Diceros bicornis minor: one gene and its partners. The protein of the gene in region 3 interacts with the protein of the main gene of each other region in a pairwise test. Links are inferred from orthologs where the notes say so. Each region holds a gene or a part of one and is shown on either strand. Other genes may lie near its edges.

Region 1 (7,638 bases), on a different chromosome or scaffold from region 3:
AATAAAATTACTTCATCTTTCTTTTGATTAGTGATTGGGTTTTTCTTTTTCCATTCTTTTATTTTTAACTGACCTGTGTCTTTATATTTGAAGTGGGTTTCTTGTAGATAGCATATAATTGGCCCTTTTTATTTAATTCCCTAGGACAATCTTTGCCTTTTAATTCCAAGATTTAGACTATTTACATTTAATGTAATTATCAATATGATTGGGTTTAAATCTATCATATTGGCTATTTTGTTTTTATTTGCTTATCTGTTCTTTGTTCCATTTTTTCTTGCCTGCTTTTGGATTGAGTATTTTATAGTATTCTAATTTTAATTTTCCTATTGACTTATTAGCTTTTGGATACCTTTTTTTTTTCTTTTAGTCATTCCTCCTATGATATATATTTTTAACTTATCACAATATACCGTCAAATTATACCACTTCAAGTATGATGTAAGAACCTTATAACATATGTATCCAGTCACCTTTCCTTTATATTGTTAACGTGTATTTTACTTCTTCATTTGTCATAAACCTCACAGAACATTTTTACTATTTTTTATTTAAATGGTTAATTATATTTTAGAGAAATTTTAAAAAGAAGGAAAAATCTTTATATTAACTTACATATTTACCATTTCTCACACTTTTTGTTCCATTTGTGTGAATTCAGATTTCCATTTGGAATCATGTGTGTTTAATCTGAAGAACTTTCTTTAGCATTTATTATAATTCAGGTATGCTAGTAACAAATTGTCTCATCTCTTGTTTGTCTGAAAATGCCTTTATTTCACCTCCACTTTTTGAAAGAATTTTTGCTGGATATAAAATTCTAGATTGACAGGGCTTTTTCTTTTAGGACTTTAAAGATTTTATTCCATTATCTCCAGGCTTGCATTCTTCCTGATGTGAAGTTGGTAGTACTTCCTGTTTTTGTTCCCTACATACAATGTGGCTTTTTATCTGGTTGTTTCTAATATTTTCTTTCAATTATTGGTTTTCAGCAGTTTGAGTGTAATGTGTCTTGGTGTGGCTTTCTTTGTGTTTATCCTGTTTGGGGTTTGTTTGCTCTTTTCAATCTGCAGTTTATATTTCTTTTTAAATTTAGAAAAATTTTGGCCATGATTTCTTCAAATATTTTTAACTCCTCTCCTCTCTTTCTGGGTCTCTGATTACACATGTTTTAGATGACGTGGTATTGCCCCACAGGTCACCAAAGTTCTGTTCACGTTCTTTTCAACTTTTCTTCTCTTTGTGCTTTGGTGTAGATAATTCTTTTGCACTGTTTTCTTGTCCATGAATCTTTTCTTCTGCAGTGTCTAAACTGCTTTTAAGCCCATCCAATAAAATTTTTGCTTCAGATTATTGTATTTTTCTGCTCTATTAGTTCAATTTGGTTCTTTTATAGTTTCCATTTCTCTTATTATATTTATGTTTTCCTTTAAATTCTTGGTCATACTTATAATAGCTGCTTTAAAATCCTTATCTGTTAATTTCATCATCTGTGTCATTTCTGGGTCTATTTCTATTGACTGACTGTTCTCCTGCTTATGGTTCACATTTTCCTGCTTCTTCAATGTATAGTAATTTTTATTGGATACTGGACATTGTGGGTGCTAGATGTTTTAGTGCCTGGATTTTATTGTCTTTCTCTAAAGACTGTTGAGTTTCATTCAAGCAAGCAGTTAATTTGCTTGCAGATCAGCTTGTTCAGCTTGGTTTGGTTGGGTCTAGAATAGCCTTCACTCTTGGGCTAGTTCAGCCTTATTTCTAAAGTGTGGCCTTTCTGAGGTCTCTCTACCAAATACCCCAGGTGTCTAATAAAGTTTCTCTATTCCAATTCATCAGAACTTGGATGTTTCCAAACTCTATTCACACTCTAGTAGTTGTTCAGCTTACAGTTCCCCAGTAATTTTCTTTCTCTAGTAGTTGTTATTTAACCAGCCTCATGGAGTCTATCCTTAAACCTACACCAAAGATTCAAGAAGCCCCTGGTGCATATTTGGAAAGCTCTTTCCCTGGTACTCTGCCTTGCAAATTTTAGTTGCCCAATCTTTCCTAATTCTAATTTCTATATCCTCAGTTAGTAAGAGTACTGTATTCTGCTTGGCTTTCTTCCATCCTGTGGTTAGGTAAATACCTACAGAAGGAAATCTGGGGAACTCTTTGGGCTCATATTGTTTGTTTTCCTTCTCTCCAGGATCACAGTTTTACTGTGCCTGTTGTCCAATGTCTGGAAACACTTGTTTCATAGATTTGGTCCAGTTTTCCACTGTTTGTTTTGGGAAGGTTAGTCTGGTACCAGTTACTTATTCATGGCTGGATCACCTTTAACATTTTTAAAATGTAAACTTTCTTTTTTTTTTTTTTTGTGAGGAAGATCAGCCCTGAGCTAACATCCATGCTAATCCTCCTCTTTTTGCTGAGGAAGATCGGCTCTGAGCTAACATCTATTGCCAATCCTCCTCCTTTTTTATCCCCCCCCCAAAGCCCCCGTAGATAGTTGTATGTCATAGTTGCACATCCTTCTAGTTGCTGTATGTGGGACGCGGCCTCAGCATGGCCGGAGAAGCGGTGCCTCAGTGTGCGCCCGGGATCTGAACCCGGGCCGCCAGTAGCAGAGTGCATGCAGTTAACCGCTAAGCCATGGGGCCGGCCCATAAAATGTAAACTTTCTATTGTTTAATAAAATACATACTGAAAAATTGCATAAACCTTAAGTGTACAGCTTGATGAATTTTTATTAATTTAACACACTGGTGTAACCAACACTCAGATCAAGGAGAACATTCTTAAGAAGACCCCTAGTGCCCCTTTCCAAACGTTAATACCTAAGGGTAGCCAATATCCTGGTGTCTATTACCATAATTATTTTTGTCTGTTTTTGAACATTATATAAATGGAATCATGTAGTATACAATTTTTGTATCTGACTTTTACTCAGTTTTATGACTGTGAGATTCATCCACGTTCTATGTGTAGTTGTAGACTGTTCATTCACTTTCCTGTATATTATTCCACTATGTGAATATTCTAAAATTTATTCATCCTGTGAACATTCTTATATATGTCTTTTGGTGAACATATGAATACATTTCTGTTGTGGCTATACCTAAGAGTGGAATTTCTAAGAGTCTTTTGGTGAACATATGAATACATTTCTGTTGTGGCTATACCTAAGAGTTAACCCACTCCAACAACCATCACATTTATATAATTAGTCCAAACCTTTCTTGTGAACTCCAGACTTACATATGCAAATCTGTTTGACATTTCCATTTATAAGTATCTCAAATTTAACATGTCTAAAAACATTTGCTCCTCCTTCTACGTTCCCTGAATCAGTAAATGGCTTCTTAATCCATCTAGTTTCTTAAGGAGTCATTCTTAATGCTCTTCTTTTCTTTACCCTTCCTGGAAAGCCAATCCATTATTAAGTCCCTTGAATTCCACCTCCAATTTATAAATGTCTCAAAATTATCCAACTTTTTCTGTTTCTGGTGCCATTACCCTAACTCAAGCCACCATCATCTCTGGCCTTGACTAATACAACTGCCTCCAAATTGGCCTTCCAGCAACCCCTCCTGCCCTCTTCCAAACTATTCCCACAAACAGCCTGGTGAGCTTTTAAATATGTAAATTAGATCCTACTTAACACCCTCTATTAGCTGCCCCTTGACCTTAGGATACATTGTAAAATAGTCTAAAATCTATAATGTGGCCAATAATAGTCTGCATGGTCTGGCCTCTGCCTCATCTCAGCCCAAGTTTGCTCCCTGAACTCCAACCACACTGGTTTTCTTTCAATTCCTAGAACACACCAAGTTTTCTCATGCCCCAGTAACCTCACACATAATGCTCTCTTGGCCTGGAACATTCTTTAAGGCTTTTTCATATGCCTGGAGCTTAAAAGGCACTTCTTCAAAGAGTTCTTCCTTGATAGTCCAGAATTAATCCATCATCGCACCCTTTAATTTTCCTTCATAGTCCTGATCACAATTTTTAATTATGTAATGATTTATGCTTTAATGTCTCTTGCTCCTAGTATGCCTTAGATTCCACCCAGTGTTATGTTCACCCCCTGTAACCCAATGCCTAACCCGGTGCTCGGCACATGGTAGACAGTAAGTGCTTGTTTAATAATGCATGACTAATGCAAAGGCTGGAAGGGGCTGCAGGGCCAGCATCTGGCACTTCTCTGCCAAGGTCAGGTGCCTCCTTGCGTGGGGTGGTAGATGGGGCAGGTCCTTTTCTTGCTCACTCAAAGGGGGCTTTTGCCCCCTGCTCCCTGGATAAGTGTTTGCTGTAGGGCCGCGTGTGAGACAAACTGCCTCCAGATACTGGTGGCAGGCGGCAGAGTTTAGCCTTATTTCTGAGGCAAAGCACAGAGACTGTCACCAGAGGATTTTGCAATCTCTTGACGCAGGTGCCCTGAGAGGCTGCTCTTGTCTCCTGCAGGGGGCGGGACTACCTCGGGCGCGGGGAGGGGGCGTGGCAGTGTGTGCTTCCCACAGAACCTGATTGGCCTGGGCGAGCCGAGGGACGTGGGCGGGGCTTGGTTCCGCCGGGCGCCAGCCACGTTGGACGCGGGGCTGCCCCGCGGAAAGGCCACTCCCCGGGCCCACAATGCAGCGCGGGCCGCGTCACCCGGAGCGGCGGGTCCCGGCTCGACAGGTACGGCTCTGCCCCTCCCAGTCCTCGTTCCTCGCTTCTCAGGGTCGCTCGAACCGTGGCCGGCCGCTCCTCTCGGTCTCCTGCCTCCTGCCACGGCCCCGGCGCTCGCCCTCGCGACTACAGACCCACCCCGGGCAGGAGCCAAGCCCGTGCCGTGGGGGCGGGAGCCGGGTGTGGTTGGAGCCGCGGAGCCCTGGAGGGGCAGGGTTGCGGGGACCTCGTCACCTCCGTCGTGAGCGGCCTGTGGGGGCCGCGCGGGCGGCGGTTGCTCCTCGGCTGACCTGCCCTGGGTAGGGGGCAGCCCGGCAGGGGGCCTGAGGGGGAGGGACAGTCACTCTGGGCTGCCAGCGGTGGGGGCCGTTCCCTGGCCCCGGGTGTCAGAAACACGGTGACCACCTGGGCTGCTTAGGTGGCCCAGAGAGTTTGACGTGGCATTTCCTATTTCTTTTCAGCAGGGTGGGATTTGAACCAGTGGTTGGCTTTGCGTTTTGTAGGGATGGAACGGGCATGGAGCCGAGGTTTGGCCGCGTTGGCTCACGGAACCTCTTGAGGCCCTGTTAATGGCACTTGGGGAACGATGTGGCGTAAAGGAGACCTGAGCAATTGGCTTGAAAGGTGGAAGATGGCTCCGAAATAGGAGACCGAACCCCAGCCAGCTTGAGTCTCTGCCAGTGGAAACAGCTTTGGACTTGTCTCCTGCTCCTTAGTTGGGGAACTTGAGAACCGGCCCCTCCCATGCCTGTCCAGCCGAGGCAAAGCCCGGGGCTATAGTGTCAGGCCCCTGAGGGAGATGTTGGGATCCCCGCTAACAGCTGGAACAGCCACTTTTAAAAACTCTCTGAATCCCATTCCGCGGTACTGGCATTTGCTCAGAGCTGAGATTATAAGGAATTAGGCAGTACCTTAAACAGTATCTACAATTTCTGGGATATGAAAGTTGTAGGTCAGTATTTGAGTCTGACATCTGTGACCTTGTCGTAAGTTAATGGGACATCTGGGCATTTACTATGTTGAGAACCGTAATATCAGTTTAGCGCGCTTTTTTTTGTGTATGACCGACTTTTAAAAATCTAAGTATATTTTATATTGGTGTATGAAAGAAGCCCAGGTCTTATGAAGGGGGTGCCTGTGACCTTCCTCTCTATGTAGTTGAATAAGAAGCTTGGATATATTGAGAGGCAATGTTCTCTTTGAGTGGGTAGAGTTAGGCCTGAGTTTAAATCTGCCACTTGCTAGTTTAGGGTTTGAATAAATTGCTTAACCTTTCTGAGCTTGAATTTCTTCAAAGGTATAATAGGACTGATAATACCTACCTCACAGGTTATTTATTGGAAGGCTTAAGTGAGGTTAATGTGTATAAATTGCCTGGTAAATAGAGGGCAGTCAATAAATAATAATAGCAGCAAACACTTAATATTGCACTTTTAGTCTGCTAGGCAGTGTTTCAGGTTCTTTACATGTCCCTATGAGGTAGATACTGTTAGTAGCCACATTTTACCCGTGAGGAAATTGAGTTTAGAAAGGCAAAGCTTGCCCAAGCTTACACAGTACCTCATGGAGCCAGTTTTTGAGCCCAGGCAATCTGGCTCCAGAATCCATCCTATTAACTACTATACTATACTGCCTCTTAAAGAAAATGTAAGCTGATCTTTTATCATTATTTCAAAATGCGTAGCTAGATAGTTTCTGTATCACTGAGTTCTTGCCCCTTGTTGGTTTTAGGAGACTGATATAGCCCAGTGATGTAGAGATACAAGAGGCTTAGGTTTAAGCACCAGTTCTGCTGTATATTAGCAGGGTGATATTGAAAAAGGGGGCCTCAGTTTTCTCATCTGTAAAATGGAGGTTATAGCTACCTCACTGTTTGTAGACTATGAGGTGCTGCACACACGTTGGGGTGAGACACATTTGTGCATGTGTTGGGGGCCCTGTTCGTAGATGTGGGTATAATCTACTCTGGAGCCTGAGGTCTTACACAGACTGTGCAGTACAAGCACCTGTAATAGGACTATCAAAGGCTGCTGGTGAGGTGGGGGCCCAGGCAAAGCTGCAGAATAAACTCTGGCTGTCCTTGGTACTGGTGCTGTCTCCAAAGTGCCTTCTTGCTAACCTGTGCTGTGTAACGTCTTCCCTTTCACTCATTCTTGCATCACAGTTAGTATAGCTTTCTCCTCAAATACTCGCCCCCGTTCCCAGTTCCCACAGATCTCAGCTGGCACTTTTAATAAAGTGATACATACCAAGATAGTGTTTCCCAAACTTTGGTACCATCAGATATGCAAGACAATTTGAATGATGAGCAGATGAACATTTAAAAAAAAGATTCTCCAAAAATTTTCACATATACACATTTGAAAGAAACAAAAAAAGTCTTCTATTTGTTTTAATTTAAATGAAGAGGACAACTTAACACCTCAAAACTGATTTCACAGATACTGTTGCTAAGGATAAGGCAAAAAAATAAGTCAACTGAAAGACCTATATTAGGTAAATAATAGTACAGGTGGGATGCAGATGTGGTAAGAATTCTGAAAATGGTACTTGGATGGCTGAAGTTTGGGAAATAATGAACTAAAATAAATATAGGTGATTAACCCAATATGAAATGTTTTTATCTTGAAAGAGGCATTTATGAAAGCCTCTTGCTGGAAAGTAGATATAAAAGATACTTGTATGTTGAGTTTTGTTTATTACTTTTTGAGAGAGTGCCTTCCTGGTACTTTGGGCTCACGGTCATTACCCCACAAGGTTCTGAAGAAGAGAGGTCAGTATCTAGTTTTGGGTCTAAAAGGTTGCTAACCACTGCTATAGTAGTTAGGCATTGTGGGAGTTTATTTTCCTCAGCCTTTAGATAAATGTTTACTCAGACCTACCTAGATTCTAGTTTGGGCTTTTTCCTCTGGCTGTTGCCATTGGGGAAAGGATATACAGGCCAGTATTAAGATTCCCTATGAGTTTTCTGCTGCTGTCTAAAGG
Region 2 (7,881 bases), on a different chromosome or scaffold from region 3:
CAGGAGTGGAAATCCAGGGCTGCGGGAGATTGTTAAACAAATACATTCCCTCTGGGTCAGCGCTGGCCCAGGGTAGCTCTCTGAACTCGGGCCTTCACCCAGCTTCCCCGTCCATAAATGGGGATGATGACCTCCGACCTTGTGTCCCCAGTCAGGAGAGGAAAGGTCCAGAGCCCTGTCAGCTGGGCAGAGATGCCTCAGGGATCCAGTGCCCAGCACCACATTTGAGATTAGCACAAAGACTGGATTTGGGTGGCTGCCGACGGTCTGCACGGAACATGCCATTTGATTGCAATTGTCCATCTTCAGCATGTTTTTTTCATTTTTATATTGTTTGAATCCTTTCATAGATTTATTGAGAAATAATTGACAGGCATCACTATATTAGTTTAAAGTGTACAGCATGATGGTTTGATTTACATATACGTGAAATGATTGCCACAGTAGGTTTGGTGAACATCTGTCATCTCATATAGATACAATAAAAAGAAAAGAAAAAAAACTTCTCCTTGTGGTGAGAGCTCTCAGGATCTTCTCTCTTGACAACTTTCCTGTGTCTCATCCAGCAGTGTTCACTGTGGTCACCCTGCTGCACGTTACATCCCTGGTCCTTGTTCATCTTATAACCAGAAGTTTGTACCTTGTAACCACTCTCCTCTAATCCCCCCTCCCCCAGCCCCCTGCTCTGGGAACCACGTGTCTGATCTCTTTTTCTATGAGTTGGGTGGGTTTTTTTGTGGTTGTTTTTTGTTTCTTTAGATTCTACACATAAATGAGATCATACAGTATTTGTCTTTCTCTGCCTGACTTATTTCACTTCGCATAATGTCTTCAAGGTCCATCCATGTTGTTGGGAATGGTTGGATTTTCTCATTTCTTATGGCTGAATAATGTTCCACTGTATATATATACCACGACTTCCTTATCCATCATCCCTCCATTAAGCATGGTCTTAATCAAGCGCTTGCAGCTTTGGGGGCACAGCATCACTCAGGGTCAAGGCCGAGCTCCACCACTCACAGCCGTGTGGCCTTCGGCAGCTACTCAACCTTTCTGAGCCTCCATCACCTCATAAGTAAAATGGGAGTCATTCTACAGACCCCAAAATAAATCACACCTACTATTATTTACTGGCAAGACCTGCCCCAGGAATCTTTCCCTGAACAGGTCTCTCTCCCTTAATCTCTTGTCCCACACCCAATTCTCTCCTCTGAACACACAAACTGGAGATGACCTCTTCTAGTATCAGGCTGGCACAGCAAATGTCGCTTTCTAGTTCCTACTTTGTAGAAACCCACCCTAGACCATGTTATTATTTTGACAGAAGCCCCAGACCCACCCCAGACTGACCCCTACAGTCACACCCACTATGCAGCTAGGAAGACCGAGGACACTGCAATGAGTTACTATCGGCTGAGGTTGTGTTTTCATATCCTGCTGGAAGCCAAAGTGTGGTCCTGGTCTCCCTATACATATGAACCACCTAAATCATCAGCTGGTGGCCCAGAGCACCCTGGGGAAGCTCTGTGACATGAAGACACACCCGTCTCTACTGACAATACTCTCCGTTCACACAGAGTCATTCCACTTCCTCCTCAGGCAGTCAAGCACGGACAAGGCTGGGTCCATCCTGGCAGTGGATGATATGTACTGAGCACCGTGCGTGGGCTGGGGTCTTGGCTGGGCACCGAGGACGTGATATGGCAGGAAGGAGACAAGCGGGTGGGGTGGGGTGGGGCTGCCCTGCAGAGGGTGGAGTGTGGTCAGGAAGAGGAACATCGAGCAAAGGATTGAGGTGAGATGAGGGTCACAGAGAAAGGGACCTTCCTAAGTCCTGTGTGCCCTCTTAGGCCTTCTCAAAGGAGGGTTGGGGCCGCTCAGCTTCATGGGCTACACCAGGGGGCTGTGCCTTCTCCCCAGAGTCACAGCCCAGCCTGAGGAATTTAGCAACACAGGTTTGAAACAGCAGAAAACCCAACCAAAAAACAAACAAACCAACAAAAAACCTCAAGGCCGGGAGAAGAGATTATTAAGAGGTGAGAAGACCTTTGTGTGTTTTAATTAGTGAATACTGACACAGAAATTGCCGAACAGCTTTGGATGGATTTACTTGAGCATGGCTTGTGGCTCGTCCCCACTAGAGTTTCCTCAGGAGGAGGGAGGAGATGGACTCCCTGGGTCTCAGGCCACCAAGGCCAGCAGCCCCGCAGAGGCTCACAGAGGTGCAGTGGGATTTTCTCATTTCAAATGCCTGGTCCCTCTCCATAAGTGGGCAGAATGGACAGTTCATGGGCATGGATCTTTTTTTTTTTTTGGTAATGTGTCCAGGAATTTACTTTTCTCCATAGGGACTGGGAAGGAAAAAGAGCTGTGTAGAGGGGAAAAGGTGAGGGTCCCAATGGAGAGAGGGGGGCTGTTGCCCCGCTATGGCTGTGGGTGAAGCCACAGTAGTTCTGGGGAGTCTGACCTGGGGGCAGGCACTGGACTGTGGGCCAATTTTTAGCTTTAGGACTTGTAAGAGAAAACTCAGTAATAGTATGTAAATTAAAATAAACAGGCAAACTACCAAAGTGTGATACTTGTTAAAAATACAGTCAAAAAAGAATAAAGAGCTGTCAATTTTGTTCCATGGATCTGTGTGTCTGTTTTTCTGCCAGTACTGTGCTGTTTTGATTACTATAGCTTTGTAGTATATTTTGAATTCCGAGAGTGTGATACCACAAATCTATGGACAGCTAATATTCAACAAAGGAGCCAAGAACATACAATGGAGAAAGGAAAGTCTCTTCAATAAATGGTGTTGTGAAAACCGGACAGCCATGTGCAAAAGAATGAAAGTAGACCATTATCTTTCACCATACACCAAAATTGACTCAAAATGTATTAAAGACTTGAATGTAAGACCTGAAATCATAAAACTCGTAGAAGAAAACATAGGCAGTACACTCTTTGACGTCAGTTTTAGCAGTATCTTTTTGAATACCATGTCTACTCAGGCAGGGGAAACAAAAGAAAAAATAAACAAATGGGACTACATCAGACTAAAAAGCTTATGCAAGGAATCCACAAAATGAAAAGACAACACACTAACTGGGAGAAAATATTTGCAAATCGTGTATCTGACAAGTGGTTAATTTCCAAAATATATAAAAACACATACTACTCAACAACAAAAAAATGAACATCCTGATCAAGAAATAGGCAGAGGATATGAACAGTCATTTTTCCAAAGAAAATATAGAGATGGGCAACAGGCATATGAAAAGATGTTCAACATCTCTAATTAGTAGGAAAATGCAAATCAAAACTACAATGAGATACCACCTCACACCCATGAGATTGGCTATAATTAACAAGACAAGAAATAAATGTTGGAGCAGATGTGGAGAAAAGGGAATCCTTATGTAGTGCTGGTGGGACTGCAAACTGGTGCAGCCACTTTGGAAAACAGTATGGAGATTTCTCAAAAAATTAAAAATAGATATACCATATGATACAGCTATTCCACTACTGGGTATTTATCCAAAGAACACGAAAACACTAATTCAAAAAGATATATGCACCCGTATGTTCATCACAGCATTATTTACAATAGCCAAGATGTGGAAGCAACCCAAGTGCCTGACAATGGATGATTGGATAAAGATGTGGTGTATACACACAATGGAATACTACTCAGCCATAAAAAAGACAAAATCAACAACATGGATGGACTTTGAGGGTATAATGCTAAGTGAAACAACTCAGAGAGAGAAAGACAAATACTGCACGACTTCACTAATACGTGCAGATAAACAAACACATAGATAAGGAGAACAGATTAGTGGTTACCAGAGGGGAAGGGGTAAATGGAGGGCGAATAGGGTAAAGGGCCACATATGTATGGTGACAGATGAAAACTAGACTATTGGTGGTGAGCACAATGCAGTCTACACAGAAACTGTTACATAATAATGTACATCTGGAATTATGCAATGTTATAAGCCAACATGACCTCAATAAAATAATTTTAAAAAAAGAATAAAGAAATCGTGGTCCAGAAAACAAAAACCCAGCAGCAACAGGTAGTCATAGGACATGGGGAGGAGGAGTCATGGCACGGCAGAGGCGCAGAGCTGCCCCCTCTGAGAGAGGGCATAGATCTGCTCAAGGAGGGCCCTTCCTGTCTCTTGGCTTCCATGCAGATCTGCCCCAGCACCACCACCACCCCTCCTCTGGGGCTGACAGGGCCGAGAGAAACCTCCTACCCTCAAACAGACAAACTGGAAGCTCCAGCACGCAGTGGAGCGGACCCCGGGTGCAAGGTTCCTGGCGCCGGACTCCAAAGGCGCGGGGAGAAGGGGTGGTGGTCAGAGGTGGTCTCAACGCCGCCCCTGCAAACCCCAGCCTGCAGCTGCGGCCAGAAGTAGGACCTCGTCCCACCGTGAGCCTGAATGCGGACGTCACATATACTAACCCACCCAGTGGAAAGATGAAGACGCAACCTAAGAATAGCTATAGCAATGGTGACCTGAGGATTGACAGGGTGGGGAGTTTGGAGAGCCTAGTTACTGATGGTTATCGTTTTTAAGGGATGGTGATCCCCTGCGAAGAGTTCAAAGCGTGCGACACGCTTCGTCAAAGTGTCTTTTTCCTGCTCCCCACGGGAGATGGCACCCGGAGGTGGGACGCAGGAGTCAGGTCCCCGTCTCCAGCCCGGCACGCCCGCTGGGCGCCCTCAGGGTGGTTCAGGGCGGCGCCCTAGGCACTCTGGCCGGGTCCCTTGGGGCGCGCACGGCCAGCTCTGACGGGGCGTGGCGGTGTCCCGGGCTCCTCCCTCCTGCGCCCCGGGCGCCTCCGCTCTTAACCCGCAAGCCGGCGGGCGCCGGGGCCACTGGGCTCCGCCGAGCAAGCGAGAGGTCAGCCGGGAGGCGAGCCGCGCGTCCTGTCCCCAGGCCGACGCCAGCACGCCGGCATGGCCCCCACAGCGGCATCGAGTGGCAGCACCCTGCCCAGCGGCTTCGCTGTCTTCACCACCTTCCCCGACTTGCTGTTCATCTTTGAGTTTGTGAGTAGCTGGCGCCGGAGCTGGGGCGGGGGCGGGATGGGCTGTGCCGCGCGCTGTAGCGGGGGCTCCGCACAGCCGACTGGACCAGATCCACAAGTTGTGGGGTCCCGGGAGCATCGGGATAGCTGGGCCAGGATAAGGACAGTCTCCCCCCACCCCAGCCGTTTGGCCCCTTCTAGACCAACTACAGTGGGGGAAACAGTCTCCAGGACTTAGGCGGAAAAACCAAACTCGCAGCATGGGGCAGATGTTGGAAGCGGGCCAGGGTCCATTCGTCACGCTGGTTCCAAAGGTGCGCTCCCCACCCGGTTCACACGGGCCGCGCAGAGGAAGCCCTTATTGGAGAGCGATGTCCTTGTAGAGGCGCCCAGCTCTCTCCAGGGTTAGGATTTCGTTTACAAAAATCAGCAAAAGAAACCTGAGCATCACCAACCGAGGTTTGGGGATTGGGTTGGTGTAGGAGGAGCTGAATCCAGATGATTCTCTTCTGACCATTGAAAGTTTCTGGCGAGAGAACGTATTTGCAACAACTTTGATCTGGAAAAATAATAAAACAGGCCACCATTTGCTGCACCACAGTCATTCCACCCTGTGTGTGGAGTGAGGGGAGGGAGGGGGCTGGTGAGAGCTGTCCTCTGCCTTGGCTGACCTTGAGAAATGGGAAGGCCTCCATACCTGACATTGGTCCCTCCTTAGGCTGGAGCCACACAGCAGTGCAGGTGGCAGCGGGAAAGCGCTTCCTACCCTGGGCTCCTGGTAAAGTGCTCACTGTGTCTCCACGCTTCAGACCACCCTCAGCATAAACTCCCCAGGGGCCACAGGCCCTCAGCTGGGAGAGGATGTGCTGTGTGTATACTGTGGGTGCAGAGCCTTGCAGCTGCGGAGACTCCTTTCCTGCACCTCCCTTCCCTGCATCCCACAGAAGAGTTGGCTGGAAAAGAGCTTGTCCAAATCTGACTGTTTAAAAAGGGACTCCAGCTTCTTATGGCCTGACTGGAGGCGGAGGGTGTGAACAGCAAAGGAGCAGGTTCTGTCATCCATGGACAGTTTGGGGAAAGGGCTAAGGGACCGAGGTTGTGGGGTGGCACCAAATCACTGCATTTGTGAGAGTTGAGTTGAGCTCACACCTGCATGTACCCATAGTGACTTTAAGTCCTGGGGCTAGCCAGAATCAAGGAGTGACATCTAGAAGAAACCCTGGACACCACTACCACCATTTCTGGATAGGGACAATCAGGCCCAGAGTGGGGAGGGTCTTGCACCCACTGGAACATTCTTTCCCCAAATGGCTCCTCTGGGTGCATCTATTCAGCATTTGGCCTGTGCTTGTCCAAGGCTGATTTCTGAAGATGAGCACACAGTGCGCATGACCTGGGAGTAAGTAGTGGGTGTTCCTTCAGAGGCCACTGTATTTACAAAGGCAGAGTTTCATGACCAAAAGAGATGATGGCTGATGGTGAGGTGTGATGGGGCAGAGAGATTTTGAAGCAACAAGAAGTCTTCCTAGTGTCTCTTCAGTTGCCCTAATGAGTGGCTTCCTCTGCCTTTGTAGCTGTTCAGGGAGCATTGTGACAAGAATCACGAGAGAGGGCGTTAGCAGGGCTTCATGCGAAAGACTCAGGTGCACCTCCTTCTCCTGCCCTCACAAGAGCTGGCTCAGGTGGCAGCAGGTGTGGAGGGCCTGGCTTCACAGAGGGGACAGCCTCCCAGTGCCCGCTGACTCCTCTTGGCATCCCAGCCTAGGGGAAGGAGTGCTCCTGGGGGTAGGAACAGCCCAGCCAGGCAGGGTGATCTGTGGGGGAGGGGATGGAAGGATCCCACCCATCCTACCAAGTGAAAGGAGAGAGCAGGGGTGTGGGAAATCTCAGAGCCATGGAGTAGTGGAAGTTTACTCCTCCAGGGCGGTTTTGTGACCTGTAATAGTAGAGGCTTCTACAAGAAATAGTTCTCCCTTGCCCAGACCACTTTGCTCTCAGCTGTCATAGAAGTTGTTTTTACTCCTCCCCCTCAGCTCCTGCTCTCCAGACGCAGACCTTCTCCCTCCTACTTCCTGAGAGATGCTGGACACCTCAGTTGTCACCTCCAAACTCTTTCTTCCTCTCTAGATTGGGGATGGGTCCCGGGATGCCTGGGAGAACAGGAAAAAAAGCAGACACCATTCCTTTAAGTTTTCCTCTGCACAGATTGTACATGGGAAGCGGGATGTGCTTTGGTGTGTAAAAGAACAGAGACTTGAAGGGCCCGAGGAGGCACTGGCCACCCTGGGAGAGTTTTTTTAAATTATGGACTATTACAACACAACAACAAAAAGATAAACAAGCCAGTTAGAAAATGGGCAAAGGACTTGAATAGACATTTCTCCAAAGAAAATATACAGATGGCCAATAAGCACATGAAAAGAAACTCAACATCAAAAAGATCATCAACATTAATCGTTAGGAAAATGAAATCAAAACCACAATGAGGTACCCTTTCACATGAAACTAGGATGACTCTTATCAAAAAACTGGAAAATAGCAAGTGCAGACCAGAGTGTGGAGAAATTGGGGCCCTCATACATTGGTGGTGGGAATGTAAAATGGTTCTTCTGCTGTTGAAAAGAGTTTGATGGTTCCTCAAAAAAATTATCATATGACCCAGCAATTCCACACCTGGGTTTATAACCTACAGAATTGAAGGCGGGGACCTGAATAGGTACGTGTACACGCGTGTTCATAGCAGCACTGTTCACGATAACCAACAGGTGGAAACAGCTGAAGTGTCCCATCAACGGAGGAATGGACAAACTGTGATATATTCACACAGTGGAGTATTACTCAGCCGTAGGAAGGAAT
Region 3 (7,370 bases):
TCTGACAGGCATGAGGTGATATCTCATTGTAGTTTTGATTTGCATTTCCCTGATAATTAATGATTTTGAACATCTTTTCATGTTTCTGTTGGCCATCTGTGTATCTTGTTTGGAGAAATGTCTGTTCAGGTCTTTTTCCCATTTTTTAATTGGGTTGTTAGTTTTTTTGTTGTTGAGATGCATGAGTTCTTTATATATTTTGGAGATTAACCCTTTATCAGATGTATGCTTTGCAAATATCTTCTCCCAATTGTTAGGTTGTCTTTTCGTTTTGTTGATGGTTTCCTTTGCTGTGCAGAAGCTTTTTAGTTCGATGTAGTCCCATTTGTTTATTTTTTCTATTGTTTCTCTTGCCCGGTCATCATCTCCTTTTGATGGAAGTCTCTTAGACGGCAAAGACTAACATTTACTCTGCTGTGCCAGACACTTTGATATATAGCATCTCATTTAAGCACAGCTTTCTTACAAAGCATATGTTGTCATTTCCATTACACAGATGAGAAAACTGAGGCTCTGAAAGACAGGCAAAAACTACTTGTCCTAGGTCACACAGCTGGCAAGTGAATACGCTGGGATTCAAACCAGGATCCAAGTTCTAAGCCCATGTTCCTCTTGACTATCTATCTGCTTATCCCTAAGTGGGTCAGAGAGTCAACTCTCTGATATCTATGATTTGTTCTGTGGATTAACCAGAGCTAAGAGGTATTTTAAACCAGTCCCTGCCCAACTCCTTATCATATTCTGCCAGAAGTTGTCAACTCATTTTGAATATTTATTATTCAGGTATTGTCAACTAATATTGCTTTAATATTAGGCCCACACATACAAAATCAGGAAGGGAAATTTTATAGGCCAGAAAACCAGTGAAGTACTACAAACCAATTATATTTGAATTTCTGGATTATTTACTTTTCTGGATTTTCCACAACTCCAACAGTAGGACAAATAAGAGGATAATTGCACAGTTGCCGTTTGGTTCAATTTCCTTGATATCTTTCCATAATGTGTTATACAGCTCTGCACACAGTAGGTGCTTCATAAGTGGAAGTGACAGGCATCCGCTTGGCCCAGTTCCCTTTTTGGAATTCTAGGTAGTCTAAGTTAACCATCTCAGACTTCATGCCCCATTCATTTGACAAACAATACTGGTGCCCACTATGTGGTAGCTGCTATGCTAGGTACTAGGACTGCCAAAATGGAAAGGACATGGTTTTTACCATCAAGGAACTCACAGTTTAGTGGTGAGAAAGCATGTGAAAAAATAAAAACACAATGCAGTAAGTGATATCATTGAGATATGCTCAGGGTGCAGTGAAAGCATAAAGGAAAACCTGTTTGGAGTGAGTTGTGGGGCCGCATCAAGAAAACACATGATTTGATTCTTGAAGAATTTATCAGGTTTCCCAGGTGAGGGCATTCCTGGCAAAGAAATCGGTTTGTGCAAAGACACAGAAGTGTTAGAAGTGTCAACAAATTTAGTATTGTGGTAGCATGGGTTCCTTGTAGGACAGCAGAAGATGAGGTTGGCCAGGCAGATTATAGGTCATGCTAAGGAGCTGATATTTTGTCTCCTAGAGTGCTCGGGGCCAGACAGATAAGGTAAATGAGTGACAAGGACAGTAATGGAGACTAGAGGAAGCAGATGGGGATGATTGTGCAGAACTTGCTCACACTTGTTTCAAGGGGGCAGTTCTAGCTGACTGTAGCCATATGGGAATGTGGATCCAGTGTTGGCAGGTTTTCTTATTTTTTAATAGAGCAGCAGGAAATCTGGATTTTTTTTTTTTTTTTAGTGAGGAAGATTAGCCCTGAGCTAACATCTGTTGCCAATCCTCCTCTTTTTGCTGAGGAAGATTGGCCCTGGGCTAACATCCATGCCCATCTTCCTCTATTTTATATGTGGGATGCCACCACAGCATGGATGGCTTGATAAGCAGTGCATAGGTCCTCGCCTGGAATCTGAACCTGTGAACCCCAGGCTGCTGAAGCAGCACGCACGAACTTAATCATTAGGCCACTGGGCCGGCCCCAGAAAATCTGGATTTTTAATGTGAAACCTCCTAATTTCTAAATGCTGGCAAGTATTTTTTTTAATTCAAAGTTTTAGCCAACATTGCACCAAACACAACACCTCCATTTGCTGAATGTGGCCTGCAGACTGTCATTTTGATATCTGTGCTGTAGGGGATGGAGTACTTATGGAAGCATAGAAGCTAACTGAAGTAACACTTCAAACACTTTTAAAAAATAACTACATACATTCCTCACCGGATTGCCGCATTCCAACATTTCTACTGCATATGAAGTCATATGTTCTTCCTCCAGGGAACCAAAGTGAGGTCCCAGGTCAAATGCAACTTGCAGGGCTTCTGAGGGCAATGGTGCAACTCAGAGTCTCAGTCATCCTGGTGAAAGGCTGGTGAAACATGGTAAGCTGAGACCAGTAAGGCCCCTGAGCACCACCTCCACTACCAGGAGATGGCTGTTACTTGTTCCCTTTTCACTTTAGGGGAAGAAGGGACAGCTTTTTTGAACTGTGTATGTAACCAAGTCAACACAGCCAGTGATAACACAGATAAAACACAATGTTATAGCTGTTCAAGTTCAAATTCGTCATTTTACAGTTGGAGAAACTAAGGTCTCAAAAAGCACAGTGACTTGCTCAGAGTGACCCAGAGAGAGCCAGTCTAGAATTTCTAGACTGAACAAGCAGGATTTGAGATTAGCTGTTAAGCGCCCTTTTTTATTTTCTTATCTGCATGATGATAATATTCTTTGCAAACTTTATATTTCATGGGTAAGGGCCAACGAGGGGACACAAAGACGTTTCTGAAGCACTGAGACCCTTCACAAAGTGTCTGGAAGAAAAGTTGGCTGTGGCTAATATATTTAAGGTTTATGACCTCTCTGCACTCTGGACTGACGGCTCTACCATATGCTTTGTTTTTGTTTTGTTGTTTCTCTTCTTTTGTTTTCTTTTCCATTTCTCCCTATTTTTCTTCTTTCCCACCAGTCTAGGTCTTAGGCCTAGCCATTTCAAGTCAAAAAAACTGCTAATTATTCATAACATGGGAATGAGAGTGCATGGTGACAAAGAAGCATACATACTTCTCCTGCTATGGTCATTCAGTTCTCTATAATCTCAGACTAGTGAGTCTTGTCAATTGTGACTCAATTAATCCTTTCCATCCTTCATTTCAGGGTCTATTGTTCTGACATTTTCCACTTTTTTTGTTGTTTTTTGCTGTGAACCCTTTTCTGATTGGTGCAGCTGTTGAAGATGCTGCAGTTGAAGCAGTGTACATCTGGAACATTTGGCTGACTTGTTGAACTTCCCCCAGGGACTACTCCAGGGAGAGGAGGGGGGTGTGGAGAGGCCAGAACAGTTGCCTGCAAATAGAGATGCCGATATTGTCTGGCCATTCTGTGGACCACCCTTGTAAAAATCCACCTCATTCTGGTCCTCGGTTTCCCCATTTTCTTATTGAAGGCACGTGTTCTCCACTCAAAAATCCTGCCGCGGTGGAAGAAGAGAAACTATACTGGCTGTGGATTCTCTCATACAGCAGTTTCTGCATTGCAAAGAGATCAATACATATTTGTTGAATTAATTAATATATCAAGAAATCCTAGTGGATTGTTTTACCCCGGGTGGGGCAACATCACTTCACTCCCACCTGACACAGGTGGGTTTCTCCGTCACTTAGATTGAGGCCCCAGACTCACTGTAAGAGTGGGGCTGCCTCAGTCCCACCCCATTCTCACTCCCTTTGGCTCTCAGGCTCCTGGGTCTCTCTTTCTTTTGCCACGCCATTGGATTGCAAACACAGCAGGCATGGTTTCATTCCAAACCCAGAGCTGTTTTAATTAGTTTAACGTCTGTTAAATGCTTTGAAGATTGAAAGCAACAGATAAGTACTGGATGATGTTATTAACAACTGCAGTTAATTGCAAACATTTCTATTAATACTAGTTTCTGCCTCCTTTTCTTTGCTCTACTTTCTCTCCAAGGTTCCCAAATTCTTCTCAGCCTCCCTCTCTTCCCTCTCCCCTGTACTGGCGCTACAGGGTTAAATTGGGGCGGAGTCCAGGGATGAACGACAGCGGCAGTCACCAACTGGAACCGGGCAAGCGGGAAGAGCTGGGTGGGGCCGCCAGGCAGAGGCGAACCCACACGCCCCCAGGTCCCGCCCCGCGGCTGGAGGCCCTGGGTGGAACGGCCGGGGGCGGGGCGCCGAGGCTTGGCGGGCCCGGTGGTTGGGTGTCCCGGCAGCCGCTTGAGGGATGGGGCGGGTCGGCCCGGGCCTCCTCCCTCATTCTCTCCGAGGGCCAGCCGCCCGTCTCTCCCGCCCGTCCTCCTCCCTTTCCCACCCCTCGAAGTGGAGCTGCACATGCGGCTGCTCCCTGCTCCGTCCCGCCCAGCGCCCGTAGCGCAGGAACGGGTCCCTGCAGCCCCCAGCCGATGGCAGGACAGTAGCCGCCTGTCAGGGGTCGTGAACCGCTGAGGCAGACGCGGCGGCTCCCGGGCCTCAGAGAGTGGGCGTCTCCGGAGGCCATGGGCTACCCCGAGGTAGAGCGAAGGGAACCTCTGCCCGCGGCAGCGCCGCGGGAGCGGGGGAGCCAGGGCTGCGGCTGTCGCGGGGCCCCTGCCCGGGCGGGCGAAGGGAACAGCTGCCGGCTCTTCCTGGGTTTCTTTGGCCTCTCGCTGGCCCTCCACCTGCTGACGTTGTGCTGCTACCTGGAGTTGCGCTCTGAGTTGCGGCGGGAACGGGGAGCCGAGTCCCGCCTTGGCGGCCCCGGCACCCCTGGCACCTCTGGGACCCTCAGCAGCTCCGGTGGCCTGGACCCTGATGGTTCCATCACCCGCCACTTCGGGCAGCCGTCACCTCAGCAGCAGCCCCTGGAACCGGGAGAAACCACATTCCCCCCAGACTCCCAGGACGGGCACCAGGTGAGTCACCTAGTAGGGGTGGCGGCGGCAGAGGCCCCCTCCCCTTGTGGGCAGGGCGGGGGCCCTCCCCCACAGGGCCCTGGGGAGGACTCTGCCACCTCGAGCTAAGTTGGAGGGTAGGACCTGGGAGGGGGCAGGCGGGCGTGGGAGAGGTTGCCCCGGGGCAGGTTGTCCCCGACCCCTGGCTCGGCTCACCCAGACTCTCTCAGGACCCCAGGACTTGGGAACTCTGGCCTGCGCCCGCCGTCCCCGGCTACAGGCTGCCTCGGGAAAAGTTGGCTGCGCTCCCGGCCGGGCCGGGGGGCGGAGGTGCCGGCGCTGCCCTTCTGGCGGACTAACGGCAGCAACTTGGCCCTTCTGCTCCTGGTGAGATTCTCTGCCCGCGGTGCTTGTTTTTTCGTGCCCAGAGCTGATGCCAGCACTAGCAGGCTCTCCTTTGGTGTTGGAGCTGTAAACAGCTGTAATAAATGCTCCACGCCGGTTGAAACAACTTTTAATCGTATTTTCAGCGCGGATCTTTCTGCGCTGACCAGAACGTGGGCTTGCTCACACTTACCTGCAATTTGAGACTGGTTGTCCTCAGTGTTCTAGTGAGGATCAGCGCCCCTGAGGAATTCTGGTAGAAATATGCCGTCTTGCTAGACAACTTCTGAACAGCAATTTAAAAAAATCTATGGAAATAAAACTCACCCTTTGCATGCCAGTTCTGACTCTTTTTTGGGGGGTGGGTAGGGAGGGGGCGTGTAACGTGCCTTCGCTACTGCTAGCTTGAGACCAGGAATCTACTGATGGAATAATTACTCAAGAGTAATCTCTCAAGAGCAGTTTTTGCAAACTTTATGATGTTTGTGCCCTTGTTAGCAAACTATTAGCTTTGCTGCTTGTTTTCTACTTTTTCTAGCTCCTTATTCAAGTAAATCTAGTGCACTTAAAATAAGTATTCTCTTGACTGCCATATTTTGTCTTATGTGAAACTTGAGAAGCATCTAAGAATCCTTTTGAGGTGGTTAAAGAATAATAGTGAATTTGTTCCTCCTGGCGAAGAGGGCATGTTGTGCAAATAATTTCCTTGAGGTCAGGGACCCAGGCCTTCTATATTTTCTACCACATCCAGAATCATTGTCATACTCTGCAAACATTATTTGTGCTACCTTGACCACCCATTCAAAGCTGCTATCACATTCATGATAATACTGTAATGTTAGGACTCACACATTTTCTACATTGTGCATTGTAAAGTTGCCCTGAGCCTTAAAATGTCTTGCTAGCACACTCCAACTTATATAACAGCCTATCAAAGAAGAGAATCAGTAGACATGCTTCTCATACTTGAAACTTTAAACACTGTAGCTAAATGATAATTAACTAGGATTCTGGCTCCCTTTATCTATCAACCCCCTCCTCCCCCAACAATGCCCAGTAGAAATACTTAGCAGCTGAACATTAATATTCTGTGAAAAGATGAAGGAATTGAGCTTCCTTAGTCAAATGATGGCCAAGGCTTTTTGGCATTCAGAATAGACAGACCCATGTTTATGGACTGAAGATTAGCAGGACAATTGTAGTCTAGGGCTTCTGTGATGGTGTGAGACTCTCACAGGTCTATAATGGCATTTAGTTACCTGTCTTTTGCATGGCACTTCAAATAGTTCTGTCTTGGTTTAAATACAGCTCCCTATTGTCTATCCTTTATTCTTTGTTTTAATTTTTTTGAGCAGTAGACGCAAGCATACTGGCTCTTTACGTTTGTTGACATCAATTAGAGTCAGAAATTTTTAGAATTGTGAGGCCACATGAGTCCGTTTTGTTTGATCCCCTTGCCCTGAGGGGGAAGTGACTTGTCCAAGGTCATGCAACTATTGTCAAAATTAGAATGGAAGTTGATATCTTGACTCCCAGATCAGTGCCCATTCCCCTATAGCATACTACCTCCTGGAGCCTTTTTGGAGGGAATAGGGTGGAGCTCCATAGTAGAATTTTTACAAAGTAGAAGGCTCAGATCTGCATCATTTTCTGCTACTTTACCTACATTTTGGCCAGACTAAGTTTAACCATGTATCCTTATTCTTCCTGAATTTCACTTTCAGGAGAATTGGAGTATGCTTTGAAGAAATTTTAGCCCAGATTCAACTTAAGTTTATCTTGAGGATATTAGTTTTAGCATACCAAAAAAACAAAAAAAAGGAAAAGTTGATCAGCTATTAGAGATAAATTGATACTGCTACACCTTGGGTAAAATTTCTAGTGCCCTGGTGCACCCTCTGCTGGCTTTGCAGGGACATTTAATTTCAGTATATGCTGACAGTCAAGATTCTAAGTTATACCGACAGATTCTGATTCATAAATAAGGAAATAAACAGCCTTGTGGGATTTGGCCACATAGGTCATATTTTTATATTTTAGTTTTTCAACACAAACA
Region 4 (7,393 bases), on a different chromosome or scaffold from region 3:
GACACGGGAGCCCTTCAGACAGCGGGCGGGAGAGGGCCCGGAGGAGAGTGGGCGACGAACGGCGAGGGGGTAGGATTTGGAAGAGGGTGACCCCGAACACCTCTGGCCTTTCCTTGAGTCTCATTTCCTCCAGTGGGCTGCAGGGGTCCCCTCTCCGGCCTCTCCCCCACCCCTCCCGACCTCCCGCCTCTCACATGCTGTCTTGCGTCGCGGCTCTGACTCTGGCGCGGGGGACAGGTCCCCTAGACTCTCGGTATCTCTGCGGCGGGGCTGCTTGGGGAAGGGGTCACAAAGGAAGGGGAAAGCCCCGGCCGGCTGTGGGGGGCGAGGCCCGGGCCCTACCTGCTGGAGTGCCCGACCTGTCCTCGGCGCTTCAAGCTCACTGTTGTGGTCTGGTTACTGCGGAGATAAGGGGCCAATGAGGCCTGAGGACCGCGGCCGGGGAGGGACCAAGGCAGCGCGGAGAGGGCGCGGGAGGGGAGGCTGGGGAGGAGGGGCCGAGGAGGCCGCAAGTGCTGGGTCCCGGGCGCTTTGAACAGACGCGTGGGGGAGCCCTCCAAGGGGCGGGGCTAGGAGGGCTGTAAGGGGCGTGGTCTGCGAGGGGTGGGGCTATGGGGGTCGGAAAGTGGAGGCTAGGAGGGCAATGAAGGGCCGGACAGTGGGGGGCCTGCGAGGGACGTTGCTGGAAGGGCTTGCGAGGTGAGGGGCACGGGTCCCTGTAGGGGGCGGGGCCTGGGGGGGGCCCTGCGAGGGGCGTGGCATGGGAACCTGTAGGAGGCGGGGCTTGGGGGGCCCTGCGAGGGGCGGGGCACGGGTCCCTGTCAGGAGCGGGGCCTGGGGGGCCCTGCGAGGGGCGTGGCATGGGAACCTGTAGGGGGCGGGGCCTGGGGGGGCCCTGCGAGGGGCGTGGCATGGGAACCTGTAGGAGGCGGGGCTTGGGGGGCCCTGAGAGGGGCGGGGCACGGGTCCCTGTCAGGAGCGGGGCCTGGGGGGCCCTGCGAGGGGCGGGGCACGGGGACCTGTAGGGGGCGGGGCTTGGGGGGCCCTAGGAGGGGCGGGGCAGGGGTCCCTGTAGGGGGCGGGGTCGGGGGCCTGCGAGGGGAGGGGCACGGGTCCATGTGGGGGCGGCCTGCTGGGAGCCCTGGGAGGGGAGGGGCACGGGTCCCTGTAGGGGGCGAGACAGCGGGGCCTTGGGAGGGGAGGGGCACAGGTACAAGAGGAGGGTGGGGGCTGTGGGGCTACGGGGGCGTGGTTGGAGGAACACGCGAGGGGTCCGGTGGGAGGGCACAGGAGGGCCGCTGGCTCCCGGGACGTGCGGGGCACGGGGCTCATCAGGAGGCACTCAGGGTCGGAGGGCCTGTGGGAGGTGGGGATGGTCTGTGTGGGGAGCACGGGCCTGTGAGGGGCGGGCTGTGTGTTTCCGGGAGGAGGAGGCAGGAGCTGAGAGAGCCTGTGGAGGCAGGGCTGGGAGGGAAGCGTCTGCAAGGCTCTGGAGCTAGGCCGAAGTCTGTCGGACGCGCCCTGAGAGATGCGTGTCTTAAGCTGATTAAGACCACGCTGAGGATTCATTAGCAGGGAGGCGGTGTGGATGCTGGGAGTTGTGAGGGGGAGGAGCGCTCACCACCACCTCAGGTCCTCACAACGGCTCACTACGCATGCGCAGTCAACGGCCTCCAGGGAAGCCGCCAAAAACCCTTTGCTGTCTGCGGAGTCCGCGCACTGAGGCGGAAGTGGGCGGGGCCTAGGGCGCTTCGCTCCGCCTCTGCCTTCCGGCCACGCCCTGTCTGGCCACACCCCCTCGCTCCGCAGGGCCCGCCCCCCGGGCGGGGGACTGCTCCCCACGTGGGCCTCCCTGCAGCGGGCCGGCAGTGGGCGCCGCTCCCTGCAGCCTGGGTGTGCCTGACGCCTGCGGTTTCCTGTGGGAGGAAGCGGCCCGCGGGCGCTCAGCTCAGCTCGTAGCCTTGGAGGCCCGGGAGGGGGAGATCCTGCCACCGCTCCCGGGTCCCCTGATTCTTCCCCTCCACAGGGCCCTAGCATGGGGGACTCCCGAACATCCCCAGGAGACGCAAGTCTGGCGTTCATTCCACTCGGGGAACTTGATTCAAAGTCCTAGCCTCCTGTCCACCTCCCTCGCTCAAATTTCCGTCTCCCTCTTTTCTGGTTCCCAGGTTCCTCCCAAGACTAGGTCCGGTTCCCTTTGCCTGCACCCCAGGAAGAGCAGAGGACGCTCCAGGCCCTAATTTTTCCCAGTGACCCAGACTTTCTGATTTCCTTGGGGTTCTGAGCTCAGAGCCTCTCTGTCCTCAAAGGCTTAAATTTGAGACTACTTATTTCCCAACCCAGAGACCCTCATTTTGTACTCCCAACCTTTTAGCCTTGGAGCCCAAAGGACCCAAGAATTTGCCCCTTCCCCAAGTCCTAGAGTCCTCGATCTGGGGTCCCCCAGTACTGAATCCACTCAGGGCCCCAATGCCTCCTGTAACTAGCACATACAACAGTGCTGTGCCAGGGGACTACTCTTAGAACCACCCTATGAGGTATTTACTATTTTTAGTCCTATTTTACAAATAAAGAAACTGAGGCCTAGAGAGGTTATTAGTAACTTGCCCAAAATCACAGCTAATGAGTAAAGCAGCTTGGATTTGAATCCAGCCACTGTGTCTCTAAAGTCTGTGCTATACTGTTACCCAGCTTCCAGGTCACTCGAGTACCCACCCAGTCACTGAAGTGCCCATCCCTCACCCCCTCAGGGAGCCCAGATGACCAACCACTCTCCCTCCCCCTAGCTCCGGCCCCATCAGATACCCAGACATCCCATCATCCAGCTCTCTTCCTTTGCAGGAACCCAGGATGTCAGTCCACCAGCTCTCAATTCCACTTCAGGACCCCAGACAACTGGACACCTCACTTTTCACCAGCAGCCAACTCTTCCAAGAGACCCACGTACATAGTAGTCACCCCCCACCCTAATTCAATATCCCAAGAATACATAATAATCATCATCATCATACTTAACATTAAGTCCCCAGTATTGCACTTCTGTTTAAAACCTCCAGTGGCTTCCCACCGCACTTAGAATAAAATCCAGGCTCCTCTAGGCTTCAAGGGCTCTCTTTGATTTCCCTTCCTACCCCTCCCTCTAGCTCCCTATGTTCTAGCCACATTGGCCCTTCTGTCTGCTCCCCAAACAACCTGAGCTTGTTCTCAAAGCCCTTTACACTTCCTCTTCCTCCCAGCATTCAAATGACTCCTGTCTTCAGGTCTCCTTCAGGTCTCGGCTCAGATGTCACCTCCTCAGAGAGGCCTCGCCTGATGACCCTGTTTAAAGTCGCCTCGCCTCATTACCTCCATCACTCTATTTTATTTCCTTCAAAGCACTTAGCACTCTGTGATATTTATCGGCTTCAGTGATATGTTTCCTCTTTATTGTCTGTCTCCCTTAAACTGGAAGGTAGACTCCATAATAACAGAAGGGCTCGCATTTGTTTTCTTCATTATTAACTCCTGGTTCAAAATAGATGTTCAATAAATATTTGATGAAGAAAGGGATGAACGTGTTAGGTGTGTTAGTGTACTGGTATGACCTTATTCATTTAGAATAAGTATCAGAATTATTATCTGTATTAGTATATTGTCAGTATTATTAGTATTATTGTACCCACCTCACAGATTAGGAAACCAGGGCTCAGAGAGGTGAAATAATTGGTGACCCCCAGGCAGAAAACGGTAGCGCTGGGACTCTCAACCTCCACTTCCTGCCGCCTTCCAGAGTTTCACTCTTCCCCATTCCCATCCTCTGACCCCCACTGTGGTGCCAGCTCCACCAGCTCCACCAGCCCCCAGCCCACTGCACACGGCAGGAATCTGACCTCCTCCCCAGACTCCCATCCCTGTGGGTATCCAGTCCTAAGCTCCATCAAGGAAAGCAGACATCCGATCCCAGGATGCGACCCAGAACGGAGGCCTGAGATTCGGGCCCTCCCACCCTCTGACGCTTGCCCCACCCCAGGGCCCCTGGTCCACCCGGCGTGCTCCAAGGACTTCTCAACCCTGGGAGATGAGAAGATGCTTGTCTGGAGGCAACGGGTGGGGGCCCAGAGAAGGAGGAACCAAGTGCCTGGGCCCTCCCTCTGGCTGCAGACCTCAGCTGGGTGGGGTCAGGGTGGGTATAAAAGGGTCGGTATATATTGAGAGGAGCAGAGAAGGAGAAACCAGGAGTGTGACAAGAGAGAGAGGAGGAGGTATAGGCAGTGAGGACAGGAGGGAGAGACAAGAGGCAGAAGGAGAGAGAGAGAGAAAGAGAGAGAAAGGGTTCCCGGATTGGAGGGGAGAAGGAGGGAGAGAGCCAGAGGGGAGAGCGAGCAAGCGAGGGAGGGAGGGAGGGAGGAAGGCGGGGAGGGAGGCGGGGGCCTCGAGAGGGTGGAAGGAGGGAGGAGAAGGGCGGGGCACGGAGGCCAGAGCGAGGGACGAGACTCCAACTCTGACTTTTCTGCTGCTCGGTAAGTTTCCAATCCGTTATTCAGACTGGGATTTCTTTATTTACTTGGAAGTACACAGTTTGGGACGGTCACCCCCAGGCTGGGAGAGACTCCCCGACTCTCCACCCCATGGAAATCTCTGTAATTTAAGAAGTGATCTCGTAGCACTTGGGGTGGGGATTCAGGAAGGGGTGGAGCCCGGCAAGGTTTTGGGGTTCACAGCTCCACCCGAAAACTTCCCGCACTTTTTCCCCCGGCTCTCCACTCTCCCTGAAGTCTGACATCAGGGCTTTGCATGAGAACACCCCAAGTCTGGGGGACCTCCAGGCCCCCCCCTTTCTGGACACTGAAAGGTCATGTGAGGTTGGCTCTTTCTCCTCAGGCTATCTCCTCTCAACACAGATCTTGTCCATTTTCCTTACAAGATGTCCAGAGGGCACCAGTCTGGCAGCAGGGTTGGGTGGGGACCTCGTGGGCACAGCCAGGGGCTGGGGTTTCCCTGGTGCTTGAAGGCAGGGGGTGGGATGAGTCACCGGATGACTCACCCGGTCCCCCTTCCTCCCTGCCCCAGGAGAGGAGTGGGGTGAGTCAAGGATGCCTGTCTCTGAGGGCAGCCCCCAGCTTCTGATGAATCTGGAGGGGTGTCAACTTGAAATTTCATATCATGGCCCATACGTGCCCAGGGACAGGGCTCTGAGAAGAAGGGGACCACCTCACTAGTCCTACTCACTCCTGGACCCCAGAGTCCATCCCTGGCTCTCACCAACCCCCAAGGGAAATTCAGGATTCCAGGACCCCAACCCCTCCTCCCTTAGACCCAGGAATCTGGACCACAGCCTCCTCCTCCCTCAGACCCAAGAGTCTGGACCCCAGCCTCCTCCTCCCTCAGACCCAGGATTCTGGACCCCACCCTCCCCCTAGACCCAGGAATCTGGACCCCAGCCTTCTCTCCCCTCAGACCCTGGAGTCTGGACCCCACCCTCCACCTCCCTCAGACCCAGGAGTCTGGACTCAGCCCCCTTCTCCACCAGCATTCAGGCATCTCACCTGCCCCTGTGCCAACCTCTTGAAATGACTATCTCCTGACGTCCCCCATACCAGGCTTCCACTGCAGCCATGTCGCTCCTCCTGCTGGTGGTCTCTGCCCTTCACATCCTCATCCTCATCCTGCTTTTCGTGGCCACTTTGGACAAGGTAAGCCTACTCGAGCAGAGCAGCAGGGCCTCCCGCTGTCCTGCAGACTGCCACCACACCCCTCCTCTCCTTTCAAGTCACTCTGGCCCTGCCCCTTTTCCCTAGCATCTACCCCTCTGAGCTCTACCTCTGATGCCTCCACTCTGCCCTGTCCCCTAACCCCCCCTTACCTACTAAATCCATGCTTTCCCCCAGTTCAGCTCCTTCCCAGCACCTCACCCTTTTCCTAATCCTTCCTTCAGTCTCCCTGACCCCACCCACTTTCCTTCCCTACTCCTGCCCTTGTTTCTCTGTCCATCCCAGTCCTGGTGGACCCTCCCTGGGAAGGAGTCCCTGAACCTCTGGCACGACTGCACGTGGAACAGTGACAACAAAACCTGGGCCTGCAGTAACGTCAGCGAGAACGGTGAGGGGTGAGGGGTGTCGGGGAGGCTGGTCTGCAAAGGGGAGGGGTAACCCCAGGTCTCCTCCCAGGACCGAGGATTGGGAACCCCCCAAGGTCTGAGTGGGAAGGTCTGGGTCCCAATGCTGAGTGAGTGGAGCTGATGTATGACCAACCCACCTCTCTGGATGATAGGGGGAAAAAAGCTCATGTTCTAAAGAGGATGGGCCAAATGCCCCCCTCCCTCATGATTCAGAAGGAGTGGAGGCCACATGCTATAGGTTTAAGGAATGGGGAGAAAGCTCCCAAGATTGTTAGATGATAGAATTATGTTTCCAGAGTCCTAAGGAGATGGGACTGGTGTTCTGAATGGATGGTTGGGACCAATTTGACCAAGTTCCAAGGAGGTGGGGCTGGAACCACATTAAGGTTCTAAAGGAGTGGGGTTGGATGCATCTGAGTTCTTTAAAGGGGCAGAGCTGCATCCATCGAAATTTCTAAGTGAAAGAAGGTGAAAGATTAAATGCTTTTCTCCTAAGGGCAAAGCAAGAATTTCTACTTTCACACCTCTCTTCAACATTGCACTGGAGGTAGCCAATGCAACAAGGCAAGAAAAAGAAATAAAAGGCATAAAGATGGGAAAGGAAGAAGTAAAAGTCTCTATTCCCAGTGGATATATTTCTGTAGAAAATCCTAAAGAATCTGCAAAGCACCTTCTAGAACTGATAAGGGAGTTTAGCAGTTACGGGAATCAAGGTCAATATACGTGATACTCCTAAGTATCTAAGGTTGTGGGGCTCTACGTGGGAGACGGGTTGGGGGGGCAAATAATGAGCAAGCAGGTGGAGCTGGAACTCTGGACGTGCTGTGACTTCCACCTCTATCTCACTGCAGGCTGGCTGAAGGCGGTGCAGGTCCTCATGGTGCTTTCCCTCATCCTCTGTTGTCTGTCCTTCATCCTGTTCATGTTCCAACTCTACACCATGCGGCGAGGAGGGCTCTTCTATGCCACTGGCCTCTGCCAGCTTTGCACCAGTGAGCACTCTCCCCTAGGGATTGGAGGGAAGGCGGGGGAGGGGGGCTGTCAGGATGCTGGGGGCCCTGGGAATGGACATCTGGCACCTGAGGTGCCTCCATGGGCTACCTTTCTGCCCAAGGGACTTATGGGAGCTGTAGTTTTCAGGGACTCAGTGGTGGTTTGTGGTGTCTCTGAGTCATGGGGGAGCTGGCACTTAGAGCTTCAAGGAGTCAGGGATGGGGTTAGGTGGTGTGGACAAATAATTTAGATCCCAGGGATGGGGGGGGTTGGTAGGTGGCTAACTAATACCCCAAGAGAGAA

The links.
Region 1: the proteins of EDA (region 3) and SEC22A interact in binary tests that used the Homo sapiens proteins (3 or more experiments, as listed by UniProt). The two-hybrid records come from large-scale screens. The link is inferred for Diceros bicornis minor from reciprocal best matches to the Homo sapiens genes EDA and SEC22A.
Region 2: the proteins of EDA (region 3) and myelin and lymphocyte protein interact in binary tests that used the Homo sapiens proteins (3 or more experiments, as listed by UniProt). The two-hybrid records come from large-scale screens. The link is inferred for Diceros bicornis minor from reciprocal best matches to the Homo sapiens genes EDA and MAL.
Region 4: the proteins of EDA (region 3) and EMP3 interact in binary tests that used the Homo sapiens proteins (3 or more experiments, as listed by UniProt). The two-hybrid records come from large-scale screens. The link is inferred for Diceros bicornis minor from reciprocal best matches to the Homo sapiens genes EDA and EMP3.

The regions. Positions count from the first base shown.
Region 1 is NC_080754.1:24,275,172-24,282,809, forward strand, and holds the start of SEC22A (vesicle-trafficking protein SEC22a), read left to right. Parts: upstream 1-4,620; 5' UTR 4,621-4,662; intron 4,663-4,704; exon of another isoform or gene 4,705-4,952; intron 4,953-7,295; exon of another isoform or gene 7,296-7,638. UniProt on the Homo sapiens protein: May be involved in vesicle transport between the ER and the Golgi complex.
Region 2 is NC_080779.1:17,291,588-17,299,468, forward strand, and holds the start of myelin and lymphocyte protein, read left to right. Parts: upstream 1-4,879; 5' UTR 4,880-4,954; coding exon 4,955-5,047; intron 5,048-7,881. UniProt on the Homo sapiens protein: May be involved in vesicular trafficking from the Golgi apparatus to the cell membrane. Plays a role in the maintenance of the myelin sheath, and in axon-glia and glia-glia interactions.
Region 3 is NC_080781.1:63,071,341-63,078,710, forward strand, and holds the start of EDA (ectodysplasin-A), read left to right. Parts: upstream 1-4,364; 5' UTR 4,365-4,555; coding exon 4,556-4,951; intron 4,952-5,160; coding exon of another isoform or gene 5,161-5,289; exon of another isoform or gene 5,290-5,670; intron 5,671-7,370. UniProt on the Homo sapiens protein: Cytokine which is involved in epithelial-mesenchymal signaling during morphogenesis of ectodermal organs. Functions as a ligand activating the DEATH-domain containing receptors EDAR and EDA2R. May also play a role in cell adhesion.
Region 4 is NC_080773.1:24,036,776-24,044,168, forward strand, and holds the start of EMP3 (epithelial membrane protein 3), read left to right. Parts: upstream 1-4,393; 5' UTR 4,394-4,499; intron 4,500-5,579; 5' UTR 5,580-5,594; coding exon 5,595-5,672; intron 5,673-5,975; coding exon 5,976-6,078; intron 6,079-6,948; coding exon 6,949-7,089; intron 7,090-7,393. UniProt on the Homo sapiens protein: Probably involved in cell proliferation and cell-cell interactions.